Linked DNA regions of Callithrix jacchus. The protein of the gene in region 3 interacts with the protein of the main gene of each other region in a pairwise test. Links are inferred from orthologs where the notes say so. Each region holds a gene or a part of one and is shown on either strand. Other genes may lie near its edges.

The links.
Region 1: the proteins of KLHL40 (region 3) and SPMIP4 interact in a two-hybrid assay, tested with the Homo sapiens proteins (2 studies listed by BioGRID and IntAct). The two-hybrid records come from large-scale screens. The link is inferred for Callithrix jacchus from reciprocal best matches to the Homo sapiens genes KLHL40 and SPMIP4.
Region 2: the proteins of KLHL40 (region 3) and TASOR2 interact in binary tests that used the Homo sapiens proteins (3 or more experiments, as listed by UniProt). The two-hybrid records come from large-scale screens. The link is inferred for Callithrix jacchus from reciprocal best matches to the Homo sapiens genes KLHL40 and TASOR2.

The regions. Positions count from the first base shown.
Region 1 is NC_133512.1:32,872,190-32,877,402, reverse strand, and holds the start of SPMIP4 (sperm-associated microtubule inner protein 4), read right to left. Parts: upstream 3,438-5,213; 5' UTR 3,118-3,437; coding exon of another isoform or gene 2,812-3,117; exon of another isoform or gene 2,786-2,811; intron 2,394-2,785; 5' UTR 2,370-2,393; coding exon 2,236-2,369; intron 1-2,235. Other genes in the region: uncharacterized protein LOC118143655, read left to right, coding at 2,812-3,117. UniProt on the Homo sapiens protein: Microtubule inner protein (MIP) part of the dynein-decorated doublet microtubules (DMTs) in flagellum axoneme. May serve to reinforce and thus stabilize the microtubule structure in the sperm flagella.
Region 2 is NC_133508.1:8,041,828-8,046,279, forward strand, and holds part of TASOR2 (protein TASOR 2), read right to left. Parts: intron 2,616-4,452; coding exon 1,736-2,615; intron 120-1,735; coding exon 1-119.
Region 3 is NC_133518.1:80,429,243-80,434,467, reverse strand, and holds the start of KLHL40 (kelch-like protein 40), read right to left. Parts: upstream 3,507-5,225; 5' UTR 1,239-3,506; coding exon 1,152-1,238; exon of another isoform or gene 1,135-1,151; intron 1-1,134. UniProt on the Homo sapiens protein: Substrate-specific adapter of a BCR (BTB-CUL3-RBX1) E3 ubiquitin ligase complex that acts as a key regulator of skeletal muscle development.

The DNA.
Region 1 (5,213 bases), on a different chromosome or scaffold from region 3:
TGATTCTTCTGCATCAGCCTCCCGAGTAGCTGGGATTACAGACTGCTGCCAATATGCCTGGCTAATTTTTGTATTTTTAGTGGAGATGGCTTTCACCATTTTGGCCAGGCTGCTCTTGAACTCCTGACCATCTGCGTTGGCCTCCCAAAGTACTGGGATTACAGGCATGAGCCACCGCATTCGGCCCATTCTTTTTCTTTAATATAAAGGGCATGTTTATAAACTGGAAAAGATCTGTGAAAGCCTGATCAGGATGGTGAAAATCTAAGTGCAAGAAGGAAAAGGAGCAGAATCTGTGATCAGTGTTGAGTATGGCAAACAGAATGCTCAGAGGGGCCAAGAGAATCTTCAGATCTTGAAGGGTTGCTAGCATGGGAAGGATGAATTATGATTTTGCATAGCTTCAGAGGGAGGAACCAGAATCAGCAGGCAGAAATTATAAGGAAAAAAAACTGTTCTCATTATAAAGAAAATTATCTAACAATCAGGAGCATTCAAAAATGGAATAGACTGCCTGGTGTCGAAGTGCTGTCCTTTTTGGTGTTTAAACTGAGTCTGGGTGACTTCCTGTCTGGTTTCCTAAAGAACTCTTAAATGAGAGACTTGACCAAGTGAACTTAAAAAAACACAAAACACACAAGTAGACAACCACACAGGCTATTTTTTCACTGGCCAGGTGTTTTGAGGTGTTTTTTCCCTTTTTCTTTCCTCAAAATGATTCAAGTAAATACAATACAGGAAGTGCTGGCACTAGGATCTTGGCAAATTACTTGTCTGTTATCTGTTATTTCAAATGCAAAATGCAGGTAACAATAGCATTTATCTTATAAGGTTCTCATGAGAATTAAAATAATTACTATATACAAAGCATCTGGTAGAGTGCTAACGCACAGTAATCACTAGATATGTTAGATGCAATTTTTTTCATTGTAATTTTTTTAAAAAAACTTTCATTCTAGGTTCAGGGGTACATATGCAGGTTTGTTATACAGGTAGATTGCATGTTGCAGGGGTTTGGTGTACAGATCATTTTGTCACCCAGGTGATAAGCATAGCACCCAAGAGGTAGTTTTCTGATCCTTGCTTTCCTCCTTCTCTCTACCTTCAAGTAGGCCTTGATGTCTGTTATTCCCTTCTTTGTCTCCCTATGTACTCAATGTTTAGCTCCCACATATAAGTGAGAACATGTGATATTTGGTTTTCTGTTCCTGTGTTAGTTTGCTTAGAATAATGGCCTCCAGCTCTATCCATGTTGCTGCAAAAGACATGATCTCATGTTTTATGGCTGCATAGTATTCCATCGTATATATGTACCATGTTTTCTATATCCAGTCAACCACTGATGGGCATTTAGGCTGATTCCATATCTTTGCTGATGAACAGACCTGTGCATGTATCTTTTTATATGTAGAATACTTATATTCCTTTGGTAGAACAACTTATAAGAACAACTGAGAATCCAATAATGGGATTGCTAGGTCACATGGTAATTCTGTTCGGAGTTGAGAAATCACTAAACTGCTTTCCACAATTCAAATCATAATGGTATAATTAATGTGTTACAGGGAATTTGGTAAAGCAAAAATTTAGACAACTATAAGCAGCAAATTCTGGGAGTATTTTTGGGCAGATGGCAGAAGGGCATGTTAGGAAACCAATATAGTACTCTCTTTATAAAATAAAAAGTCTTTGATTAAAACAGATTAATTCCCCAATGAAGGAACAGACTATTCTAAAATTTTACAATGTAGTGGATGAATTTGATGTCTTCATAGTACACAGCCACTTACTTCTCAGGTTCCTTACAGACACTCGAAGGTTTAGTTAATTGCCACGTTTGCCTTCACTGTGATGTGATAAACAGAAGCACTTTGGCAGGCTGAGGTGGGTGGATCATTTGAGGTCAGGAATTCGAGACCAGCCTGGCCAACATGGTGAAACCCCGTCTCTACTAAAAATACAAAAATATTAGCTGGGCACAGTGGCGCATGCCTGTAATCCCAGCTACTCGGAAGGGTGAGGCAGGAGAATCACTAGAACTTGGAAGCGGAGGTTGCAGTGAGCCGAGATCGCGCCATTGCACTCCAGCCTGGGCGACAGCAAGACTATGTCTCAAAAACAAACGAACAAACAACAGAAGAGCCCCAGAAAATAAATGTTTTTCCTCTCATAATAAAATACACTAATACATTAAAACTGCTTTTTCTTGTTTGCTTTTTCTAGTTTTTGTTTTACCTGTCCTCTGAGGCAGTTGGGCGAATAGCCATTTGGAGGGGGGTGTGCAACTCATTAGAGTAAAAGGTGTTGGACAGTATGTCAGCGCCTTCCAGCTCCCTGCAACAGTAGGGCCTGCCGTGAATGACCTCCATGCTTCTTGGCTAAAAAGGCACAACCTAGAAAAGAAATGGAGGGCATATTTGGCTTATCGAGTTAAGGCAGGCAGAAAACACATTTTGCGCTGCTAAATTGTTCAATCTAAAGCTGCACAGAAATCACGGGCTTCCCTCCTCACTTAAAGCCGTCAAATCAGTAGTAAACAGAGACCTAAATAAATTCTATGGAAATACATTTCAACAGAAACAAATCCACAAAGTGGAAGGTGTCTCCAAGTAGTCACCAGAATGACCACCATCCAGCAGGTTCGTACCAGTCCGCTTTGTGGACATCAACTGAAATTTAATTCAGTTGATGAAAAGCCTGTGGCCTTTCCGAAAATTAGACTCTTCATATAACAGAACCAAGAGCTGTCCTAAAGCATTCGGGGATTCTGCACAAGAATCCCTTTGCAGATGGTGGAGTCAGTGGTGCAGCATGAACCCTACCCTAAAGGGGATTCCCAGTTTCCAACTGCGTCAGGAAGAATCTCACCTCTCCCTCGGACTTGGGGGGAAGGCCAGGAGTGGGTGTAGCTTGGACGAAGGGTACCGGGGGCCGAGGCCGAACCTCGCGGGCTGTCAACGTTCTGCGAGCCGTGCCTCCGGGGTCCGGACGCACCTGGGACCTGAATCTGGGGGCGCCGCGGGACGGCGCCTTTCATCCCCTCCTGGAGCTGACGGCCTCCGCGGGCCAGGAATGTTGCGGTTGCCCGCACTGCGGCCCGGTGGAGCTGGCAGGCAGGTGCGGGGGCGGGAGAGGGACGGCGGGCAGGCCGGTGTTGGGTGGGGCTGGGGGCGCTTGTGACGGTGGCCGTGACCGCGGCACTAAGCGATGCGTCCATGAGGAGCTGGGGGCTTCCGCGCGACGGGCGGGGTGCGGTAGGCGGGTCTTAGAGGCCTCGGAGGAAGCCAGCCTAACGCTGCGGGATAGGCAAGAACGCGCGTCAGTACCAAGAGTGAAGAAGAGAGCGCCAGGCGCCGGGTCGGTGGTGAAAGGGCCTCTTCCGCCTTGCGGCCCCCGGCCCTCTTCTCTGCCCCTCGCCCCGCCCCTCTCGGCTCACCGCCCCGCCTCCTGCCGGACCCGCCTAGCCCCACCCTCTCCCTGCCCCCAGGCGCCCTCTGGCGGCCGCGGCGGCGAAGGTGATCTCAGTTTCTTTTCCCAGGGCTGTCAGATCTGGAGCTCTCTGGGGCCGGCCAGGAAACTCTCTCTGCCGACTGGGCGGAGGAAGACCTACGGTCCAGCGCAGACCCTGGTGAGGTCAGAGCATCCAATCTGTCCTCCCTCCCCAGGTCACCTCGCAAAAATTGGGGCCAGATCGGGGATGGAGTCTGCAGGATTCTGCAACTGCAGCCCGTGGGATGGCGCCCTAACAGAGCTTCTGCTCCTTCTCTAGTGAATGCGGACGTGGCAAAGTCCTTACTTGCCTTGTCCCCAGGGCCTAGCCCCACCTTGATTACCTCAGTTTTCCCCAAAAGAAATAAATGTGAGCCCCTTCTCTGCACCTACAGGGTCATGAGTGCCTGTGATGACTGAAAACAGCGGTGTCACCCCTCTTCCCACCTCCCCCCGCATCAAGGAATGGGATGTGGGAAGGTTAGGTTGTGTGATATAGTTAGGCTTTGTGTCCCCACCCAAATCTCATTTTGAATTGCAAGCCCCATAATCCCCACATGTGAAAGGAGAGACCGGGTGAAAGTAATTGTGTCACGGGGGCAGTTTCCCTCATGCTGTTCTGGTAATAGTGAGTGAATTCTCACAAAATCTGATGGTTTTATAAGGGGCTCTTCCCCCTTCTCTCAGCACCACTCCTTCCTGCCGCCTTGTGAAAAAGGTGAGTGCTTCTCCTTGGTCTTCTGCAATGATTGTAAGTTTCCTGAGGCTTCCCCACCCATGGGAGACTGTGAGTCAACTAAACCTCTTTCCTTTATAAATTACCCAGTATCGGGCAGTTCTTTATAGCAGTGTGAGAACCGACTAACACAGTGTGGGAGGTTAGAACTGAGCTGCAGGAATCAGGAGGTGAGGGCTGAGAAGAAGGTCATTGAAACTATCTGCCAAAGAGTAAAAACAAAACAACAGAAACAACAAAAAAGCCATAGAAATTCTTGAGTTTACAGAATGGCAGATAAAAGAAACAACTTGCTGAAATGCTGAAACTGCCTGGGCTTTTATGTTAATAAAACTGGCCAAAATCCCTGTGAACCAATATGGCCAACTGGAGTCTGCACAGACCCAGCTTGCTGACCTTACAGCTGAATTTCTACTGCATGTTTCATACTATCTCCTCCCTAAATTTGCATGTGGAACACTTAGGTAGCATGAAGAGAGAGGAGCACATGCCCAAGGACTTTCCAGACCTCCTCATTCCTTCCACCAAGCACCTGATAGTCCCTGAATTCACACTCGAAACATTTTCTAATAAAATCACTTCCCTAAAGCCAGCGCAGGGAGACAGATTTGAGCTGGACTTCCTAATTCCTTGTTGGTTGACATTCTATAAAAGTTTTTATTTTCTCAAAAACCCAGTGTTATAGTTTTGACTTCTAGGAGTGCAGCAGGCAGTGAGCCTCCTTTGCTTGGTAACAGTGTGATGGTGCCTTTGCCATTCTGTGCCTACTTTACAACTTCTTACTAATCAACCAGTGGGCATTCATTTTGTGCTGTGCCTTCTATGTGAGTGTTACCTGGAGTGGGGGAAGAAAGGTGTACTGAGGTAGGCACAGTGGCAATTTTGTAGTCTTGGTTTATTTCTTAGTTTCTGCACCTCTGCCAACGTTCCGATAGTTACTACCCACTAAGCCTGGAGGAGTAGATCCTGCTGGAGACAGAGTTGTGCA
Region 2 (4,452 bases), on a different chromosome or scaffold from region 3:
CTACCACCTTTCGGGAAGATCGTATGACTTTGTTCTGATTGCTGTAAAACAGAGCTACCCACATATGAAGTAAAAGCTTCACTTCTTCCACATTATCAGGCAAATCAGTATTCCAGGGCCTAAAAGTTTACAGAAAGAACACATGAAAATCAATGTAAGTGGTTATTTTAGTTGATTACCTTAGTAAGCAAGTGCTTCCAATATTAACCTTAGGTTTTATGTTTTTATTTTTAAAATGTACAGATATGAAGCATGAATGAGTAAAAATGTAGTTGACTTAACAAATAATTATCAGTCTAACCCACTCATTTTACAGAGACAGGAACTGAGAATCAGAACATGTAATTGCCTTCTTTCAAATCACAAAACCTGCATGGCAGAATCATGATCTAAACATGCATCTCCTGACTCCTAGTTTAGCACATGTCTTTTACACCATACAAATTCACTCTAGACACAGAATACTAATTATGTGAATAATGGTTTCACCAATACGCAAATCCTCGTCAACATGCTTTTGCTAAGTCTGGCTGATTCATTTATTTTCCATTTTTGTGTCTCCCTTCTAATAGATGATAGTCTGAAGATAAAATATCTCTCTAGGCAATTCAACAGAAAACTATACTATTTTCAGATTACGGTTCTGAAAAATACCCTGAAACTGTAAGGGGAGATGGAAAACATTTCTGGCCATCTGGCCGGCAAAAGGATGCCAGATCGCTGGAACAGGGTAAGTTAGCGGGGCTGCAGAGTTGGGCAACAGCTCAGCAGGAAGTTCTAAGGAAATGACCCTTATGAGTATATATAAACTTGTGCATGGAAGACAGCCTGACAGCTGTAGAGTCCATTTAGTCAGATGTGAAATAGTTCATTAATAGGGAGTTGAATGTCATTTCATATAGCTAATGAATGCTTCTTGCTAACAGTGATATTTACCATTTATTATTACTATTGTCCCAATATATGTAATCTCAAGATACAGCTACTACTAAACTCAAAGTGTTGCCCAGACTGTCATCCACCATTGATATCACCTGAAAATTTGTTAGAAATGCAGAATGTCAGACCTCTCCCCAAGGAGAATGCATCAGGATCTGCAGTTCAATGCAATCTCCAGATGAGCAGTATACACAATTAAGATTGAGAGGCACCGTCCAAAAGCAAGAAACTTGCCCAGAATCACAGGAGGTAAGAAAGGGAAAGAACTCGGGTTCAAATCCACGTTAGTGTACACTCCAAAGCCTGTGCTGTTCACCACTCTGCTCTTATTGCCTTGATTCCTTCTTAAGGGAGATCTATAGAACAATCTGATGTGAAACGGCTTATTCCTATCAATCTGAACAATTTACCAAGCTACAAGTGATTTTTAAAATGTTTCTTCTGGAATCCAGTCTGTAAACCATTATTTCTAAATGTCACACTATTTCACATTAAGATCTCATCTAAAAATCGAAATTCAAAAGCCACAGGGGCTTACAAAGGACCACTGCAAACTGGAAAGCTATTCATTAGGCTAAAGTTATCTTTAAAATGTTCTCCATGTGAACACAGGGGAAAACCGGCCTGTTACTCTTACTTGCCAGGAAACATGTTTGCTTGATGTTATTATCAAATTACTGGTTTTACACACACTTGTTTCTCCTTCTCCAGAGTTTGGCACAAGTGTCCCCCTCTCACTATATTCATCTCAACAGAAAAGTTTCATCCATTTTCACCAAGTTTCACTCATACTCACCCATGTAATGCTCTAACTACAGTTTTCTCCAGTGGGTGGTTGGTATATTTGCTATCTAAGCTGAATGCATATTCTGTTTCACATTTGAAAGTGATCTTAACGGAGTCATCACAGCTAAACACCACATGAGAACAAGAAGATTCTTTCACACTGGAAGACTTCGGTTGATCCTTGTGCTTCACCACAGGCTCGTCAGAAGGTTTTGGCTGAAGCAAAAGGCCAGGTTGATGCCGAAATGGCATGACTTTCCCCACTGGGGTTACTGCTTCAGGGCTTTTTGTCCCATTCTTGGGAAAGGGAGGGCTTGGTGTCTCTTTCTCCTGAAGATGTTTCTTTAACTCTTCTGTAAGGAGCAGAGCATATGAATGTTCCACAGAAACAGAAGAGCTCTGGCTGGCATCTGAAGATTCTAGTGTTTCCTCAGTAATTGCTGACTGGGCTTTAGCAGGGGTCTGGCTACAAGCAACCAAGCTTTCTTCATTTTGGCTAACAGTTAAGTCTGACCCAGAATTACTCTTCCTATCAGAGGATGGGTTAGGTAGTAATCCACCTTTTTGACTTTTAACTCCTCTATGATATTCATGGTCAGATGTGCCTCGCAAAGAATTTTCTTTAGAGAGCGAAATATCATTCTGTGGCAATTCAGAGGAACAGTGAAGATCTCTAGGCTCCGATACTGGTGTGGAAGAGGTAGCAGAGCTTAATGCTAGATCGGCTAACATATTTAGGGCCTGGGAGTCATAGTTGACAATGGAGTTCTCAGCAAGATCACTGTGAGCCACTGTGGTATTTTCTGGTTGAACATTATTTATGCTGATCCCATCTTCTTGACCATCTCTTGAAATTTCTGACTGAAGCTTTGAAACAGTTTCTCCTTTGACTTCAGTATAAAGGAATTAAAAAAAGAGAGATATTATGTTTGCTTGTCATAGAATTCTCTGCTGTTATTAATGGTAACTCAACATGTTCCAGAAATACTTATGTTACATATATTGCTTATTAAAAATTTACTATCAGATTAAGGTCTCTTCCAACCCTCAGATCTCTTATAACATATTAAACCAGAGGGACAAGTCTTAAGGAATAGGTATATTAATTTAGAAAGAGATTAATCTTCAAAACATATGTAATGAACTACATGCAAGACACACAGCTCAGCTCAAAAAAAATGTACAAACAGAAAAAAAACAAAAAGGACGAGAGTCCTGCCCTTCAGGAGCTTACAATCTAGTGAAGCTAGGAATGTTGAAGTTTCAAGTGTGTATTAAAGTTTGCTAACACACATTCTCAGCAATCATTTCCCTGAACAAGTAATCTATTAGAGAAACCACCTAAGTTCAAATAATTTTAACTATATAAATCTTTAATTACATGATGTAATAGAAATAAAAAATTAGAAGTCATAAGCGTATTCAGAATCATCAATTCCATACCTTTAAAATTTTGCTTTCATTACCAAAAACATTTGGTAATGAAATTTTTTTACATTATCCAAGAAAGAGTAAATCTACTGACAGTTTTCCTTTATGTAGAGAAATCTATCCATATGCCGTTAAACAGAACAATTATATTTGCCAGTGGTGTCCCTAGGTATTTTCAAGACATTAATTAGTCCTTCCTAAATGCTGTTATTATGAAGGATCAACTTCACAACTCTACTAGGCAATGATTACCTGCTGCAGGTAGAGAGATGAACAGAAAAGCCAACTGTGTTCCTCTTTATAATAGTAGCAGGTCCAAAATGAATTAACCTCTCCCCAGCCAAGGCCAATGAGTAATACATTTAAAGAGAAGAAAAAAGCTCCAGGCCTTTTTCTTCATCAATTAGAACGAGATAAGGATATGCACATACATGGGGAAAGGGTAAAACTATCAACCACTGCCCAGTATTTATGTAAAACAGCAAATCCAAAGGGGACAGGTGGATGAAAAGGACCCAAAGCGGGTAGTTGTCTTGTTAGCCCCACAGGTATATTGGAAACATAAAATTAATTTTATGATCTGATTCATTTATTGACACTAATTTCATTCTATCTTTGTTAATATTATGGCCTTTATATACTTATCCCTTACACAAAATACTACTTACAAGTAAGGCCTAATATAAAAGATACTGTATTGAAATCCAGAAAAAATGGTAGTTTAATAAACATATTATAGTCTCACACAAATCACCCAATTATTAACTTGTTACAAGTTCTCAATTAAAAAAAAAAAACCAATAATTTCTATCTATTTAAGACATACATAAGACAATGCCAAAGGAACTACATTTAAAAAGAAAGTTCAGTGTATAAAAAGGAAAGAAAACCATGTTTCGTTAACAAAAGGATTGACTTTAAAATTTTCATTTGATTCTAATTTAAATCAGTAATTTTCAAACTGAGGTCATCATGGCTGTTTCATCTGCCTTCTTAAACTTTGATGTTTAAAGTGTAAGACTTAAAATAATTAACATAGGTGTTTAAGAAAAAAAATGAGATTTTTAAAATGTAGTCATTGAAAAATGTCAACTTGGAATGTGATAACAATACATACAGATATTTGCAATACAAATAAGTTTTTAAAATATGTGTTCAAATATTTTGAAAATATTTTGAACACATATTTTAAAAACTTTAAATTTTCTGGGCTCACTTTTCTGTCAGTATCCAATTGTATACCTCTTCCCATTGAACAATTTTTCAATAAACATCTGAAGCCAATTCAGTGCAACA
Region 3 (5,225 bases):
TGTTTATAACGTCAGGCCTGGGGGGCACGGGAGAAATGACAGCTGGCTGGGCTAGGGCTGAGTCACCTCCCTTTTGTGATCTCAGCAATATCACTCTGTCCCTTTTTCTTTTTCTTCTTTTGAGACAGAACCTCATTCTGTTGCCCAGGCTGGAGTGCAATGGCACGATCTTGGCTCACTGCAACCTCCACCTCCCGGGTTCAAATGATCCTCCTGCCTCAGTCTCCCGGTAGCTGGGATTACAGGTGCCTGCCATCATGTCCAGCTAATTTTTTTTTCTTTAGTAGAGATGGGGTTTTACTGTGTTGGCCAGGCTGCTCTCAAACTTCTGATCTCAGGTGATCCGCCCGCCTCGGCCTCCCAAAGTGCTGGGATTACAGGCGTGAGCCACCGCGCCCGGCCTCTGTCCCTCTTCAATGGTGCAACTGACCATCACTCACTCACCCCACCAGCAGGTCCCAAAGGGACACAGCACCTGGGCAGGCTCTGGAGGTGATCAGTCCCTGTTGCTGAAAAGACAAGGGCTCACTCAGACAAGGCAGGTGGTGGGCTTTCAGCCCAGTCCGGGACTGCAGGGCATTGTGGCAAGCACAGCCACTGAGGAGACTCGGCTTGAGGGCTGGGCACCTTGGCCAAGTCACAGAGCGGGCATGGGGCGGTGCCAGGATCTGAAACAGATCTGCCCTCCTCCAAAGACTGTGGCAACCCTTCCCTACCTTGCCACTTCCCAAGAATTAACAAAAATGTCATTAATCGTAGTCTCATTTCAAAGACCAGGACAGAAAATACTGGCCAGTTAACTTAGATTTATCAAATGACTTGATGAAATATTTTTAGATGGTGATGGATCCCATAGCTGTCACTCTACCAAGCATTCCAGTAGAACATGTGTATATGGCTCATTCATTCATCATCAAGCACCAGCTGTGCACTGCTTTAAATGCTGAAGAGTCAGCAATCAGGCGTCACGGGACTTACATTTGCCAGGGGGTCGGGGCGAGGGTGGTGGGGGAGACAGAAATACATCAATAGTTATTCAGGGCATTGGACGATGCTCATGGCTGTGCAGACAAGGGGAACAGGGAAGGCGCATGGGAAGTGGCAGGAGGAGGTGGGAACGATTTTAAACGGAGCAGTCAGGATGGACTCACCAAGAGGATCACATTGAGTTGAGTCAGAGGATTCCCGGTGGGGGCGCAGCTGGAGCCAAGTTCCTGAGGCAAGAGAGTGCCTGGCATGTTCCTGGAACAGCTTGGAGAGCGACCGGGCTGGAGCAGTGAATGAGGAGGCGAGTAGGAGGCAAGGGGAGAGGTGAGTGTGGGGACCGTGGGCCCATCAGGACTTCGGTTTTCCTCTGAGTTGAAAGGGGAAACACTGTTATTTATTTATTTATTTTTTGAGATGGCATCTTGCTCTGTTGCCCAGGCTGGAGTGCGGTGGCGTGGGCTCAGCTCACTGCAACTTCTGCCTCCTGGGTTCAAGCGATTCTCCTGTTTCAGCTTCCCAAGTATCTGGGACTATAGGCACCCGCCACCACGCCTGGCTACTTTTTGTATTTTTGGTAGAGATGGGGTTTCCCCATATTGGCCAGGCTACTCTCCAATTTCTGACCTTGTGATCCGCCCACCTTGGCCTCCTAAAGTGCTGGGATTACAGGTTTGAGCCACTGCGCCCAGCCTTATTTTTTGAGGCAGGGTCTTGCCCTGTTGCCCAGTCTGGACCTCCTGGGCTCAAGTGATCCTTCACCTCAGTCTCCTCAGTGGCTGCGACTACAGGCGCCCCGTCCCCACCACACCCAACTAATTTCTAAAATTTTTGTGCTGATGGGGTCTCACTATTTTGCCCAGGCTGGTCTGGAACTCCTGGCCTCAAGGGATCCTCCCACCTTGGCCTCCCAAAGTGTTGGGATTATAGGTGTGAGCCACCATGCCTGGCCTCACTGTTTTTTTAATTATTATTGTGGAAAATACAAATATGTACAAAAGTAGAGAGGATAATATCCTGAGCTCCCATGGACCCATCTCCCCACTTCGATAATTGTCAGGTCTTTGAGTCATGGCCAACCCCGTTTCATCTCTACCGCACCCACTCTATTACTCACCCCCGGAGGTCCCCAGGGATTGTATGTGGGTGTAGAAAAAGAGGGGAGAAAGGGTGACTCCAAGGCTTTTAGCTGAACCAAAGGGAAGATGTCATCTCATTTCATCCTTTCAATTTTTACTGATTTAATCTCCACACCAAAATTATGAGGTAGGTATTATTTTTCCCATTTTACAGAAATTGAAATTCCAATGGCCAGCAAATGGGAAGCAGTCTAATGTTTTAAAAACAGCTCTAATGAGGCATAAGTAGCATGTGACAAACCACACGTATTTAAAGTGTACAATTTGATAAGTTTTGACATATGTATATATACCCGTGAAACCCCCAGCACCACAATCAAGACGGGAACACACCTGTCACCCACGAACCCTTCCTCATCCCCTTTAAAATCTCTCCTCCATCTCTTCCCACACACCCCCCATCACTGATCTGTTGTCACCATGATTCATTTGCATTACCTGCAGTTTTACGTAAGAAGAATCGTGCAGTATGCACTCTTTTTGATTTTTTGTCTGACATTATTCACTCAGTGTAATTATTTTAAGCTTCATCTAGGCTGTCTACTCATATGTTTAACTGGAAGCTCTGCCTTCATTAGGAATCTTAGCATATCCCAGGGTCATTTAAGAGAAGCACTAAGTGTGCCGGGTGCTGTGGCTCACCTGCACTCCCAGCACTTTGGGGGACTAGGGCAGTGGGTGGATCACCTGAGGTCAGGAGTTCGAGACCAGTCTCACCAATACGGTGAAACTCCATCTCTACTAAACTACGAAAATTAGCCGGGTGTGGTGGCATGCACCTGTAGTCCCAGCTGCTCAGGAGGCTGAGACAGGAGGCTTGAACTCAGGACATTTGGGTGGCCACACTTGGTGGCCTTCCTGCATCTCCTAAATAGTCTTCCTATGTTTTGGACAGTTCGCACGTAAGTAGAACTTCTTCTCTGTGGTAGAAAACAGAATTTATTTAAAATCCCAGCTTCCCCAGGAAAACAGACATGCCACTGAGCTCAACCCATCGTATGTGCCGTCCCAAACTTCAGCTCAGATCAGGAAGCAGGGACACGCAGCATCCATGTTTTGACGAAGATGGCTGATGGAAAGCGGTGTCGGAACTTCTGGAGTCGGCTTCCCACTGTCCACGTGCAAGCGGAGGGATCTGTCCCTGCTGGCGCTGGTTTGGCCACGACCTGGGCTATGCAGCCTGTGACCCTGACTGCAGCACTCCTGAAGGTTCTGTCTGATGCCACAGCAGCCAGTGAGGCTTCCATGGTCTGCTGCTAAGAGGACTGTGCGATGTTGAAATTCATTTCAGGAGTATCCTGGCAGCAGGTGCGCACGGCGGAGCCAACGCAGTCGAGAGCATCTCCGATGGCCTGCTCGCCTGCTCACTGACTTCTGGGTTACAGGAGGCCTGTGATGCAAGGAGTCGAGATGCTGCAGATGCTCTTACGTGACAAAGGGACCCAAAGACGGGAGCCCCGAATGCTGGAGTGGACCCATCCCCCGTGTCTGCTGAGAGGGCTGAGAGGATACCTCGCCCATCATTGAGGACCTTGTTGGTGAGGTATGCCGGCGACTTTAACCTGTCAGGGCTGAGTGGGAGCCTTTGCCTTTGAAGTGGCCTCCCTGCTTTCAGGGAGGATAATGGGATCTTAGCATTGACAGTGGCCAAGTAATGGTTCATAAGCTCCAAAGGTAAAATGGGCACGGCCACTGCAATCAGCAGCAGGGCTGGAGCGGGGGTCGTCAGAGGGGACGGAGGGCTGGAGCGGGGGTCGTCAGAGGGGCCGGAGGGCTGGAGTGGTGGTCATCTTAGGGGCTGGAGGGCTGGAGCGGGGGTCGTCAGAGGGGACGGAGGGCTGGAGCGGGGGGTTGTCAGAGGGGACGGAGGGCTGGAGCGGGGGTCATCTTAGGGGCTGGAGGGCTGGAGCGGGGGTCATCTTAGGGGCTGGAGGGCTGGAGCGGGGGTCGTCAGAGGGGACGGAGGGCTGGAGCGGGGGGTTGTCAGAGGGGACGGAGGGCTGGAGCGGGGGTCATCTTAGGGGCTGGAGGGCTGGAGCGGGGGTCATCATAGGGGCTGGAGGGCTGGAGCGGGGGTCGTCAGAGGGGCCGGAGGGCTGGAGCGGTGGTCATCTTAGGGGCCGGAGGGCTGGAGCGGGGGTCGTCAGAGGGGACGGAGGGCTGGAGCGGGGGTCGTCAGAGGGGACGGAGGGCTGGAGCGGGGGTCGTCAGAGGGGACGGAGGGCTGGAGCGGGGGTCGTCAGAGGGGCCGGAGGGCTGGAGCGGGGGTCGTCAGAGGGGCCGGAGGGCTGGAGCGGGGGTCGTCAGAGGGGCTGGAGGGCTGGAGCGGGGGTCATCTTAGGGGCTGGAGGGCTGGAGCGGGGGTCGTCAGAGGGGACGGAGGGCTGGAGCGGGGGTCGTCAGAGGGGCCGGAGGGCTGGAGCGGGGGTCGTCAGAGGGGCTGGAGGGCTGGAGCGGGGGTCGTCAGAGGGGACGGAGGGCTGGAGCGGGGGTCGTCAGAGGGGACGGAGGGCTGGAGCGGTGGTCATCATAGGGGCTGCAGGGCTGGAGCGGGGGTCATCTTAGGGGCTGCAGGGCTGGAGCGGGGGTCGTCAGAGGGGCTGCAGGGCTGGAGCGGGGGTCGTCAGAGGGGCTGGAGGGCTGGAGCGGGGGTCGTCAGAGGGGCTGCAGGGCTGGAGCGGGGGTCGTCAGAGGGGCTGCAGGGCTGGAGCGGGGGTCGTCATAGGGGCTGGAGGGCTGGAGCGGGGGTCGTCAGAGGGGCTGGAGGGCTGGAGCGGGGGTCGTCAGAGGGGCTGGAGGGCTGGAGCGGGGGTCATCTTAGGGGCTGCAGGGCTGGAGCGGGGGTCGTCAGAGGGGCCGGAGGGCTGGAGCGGGGGTCATGAGAGGGTCTGACCCCCAGGGGCCCTTGGGGGTGACTAATGGAGTGTGTGTTTCCTAGCAACGGAAACAGATCGTTTTTCTAACGTTTTACTGATACATATTCTGAATCTGGGTTTGCCTTCCCAGCCTGCCACATTTCTGCTGCTCCCTCCAGCCACAGATTTCATGCCTTTTTCATTTTCATGGAACCAAATTCAACCCTGCTTCTGATCCAGGATCTCA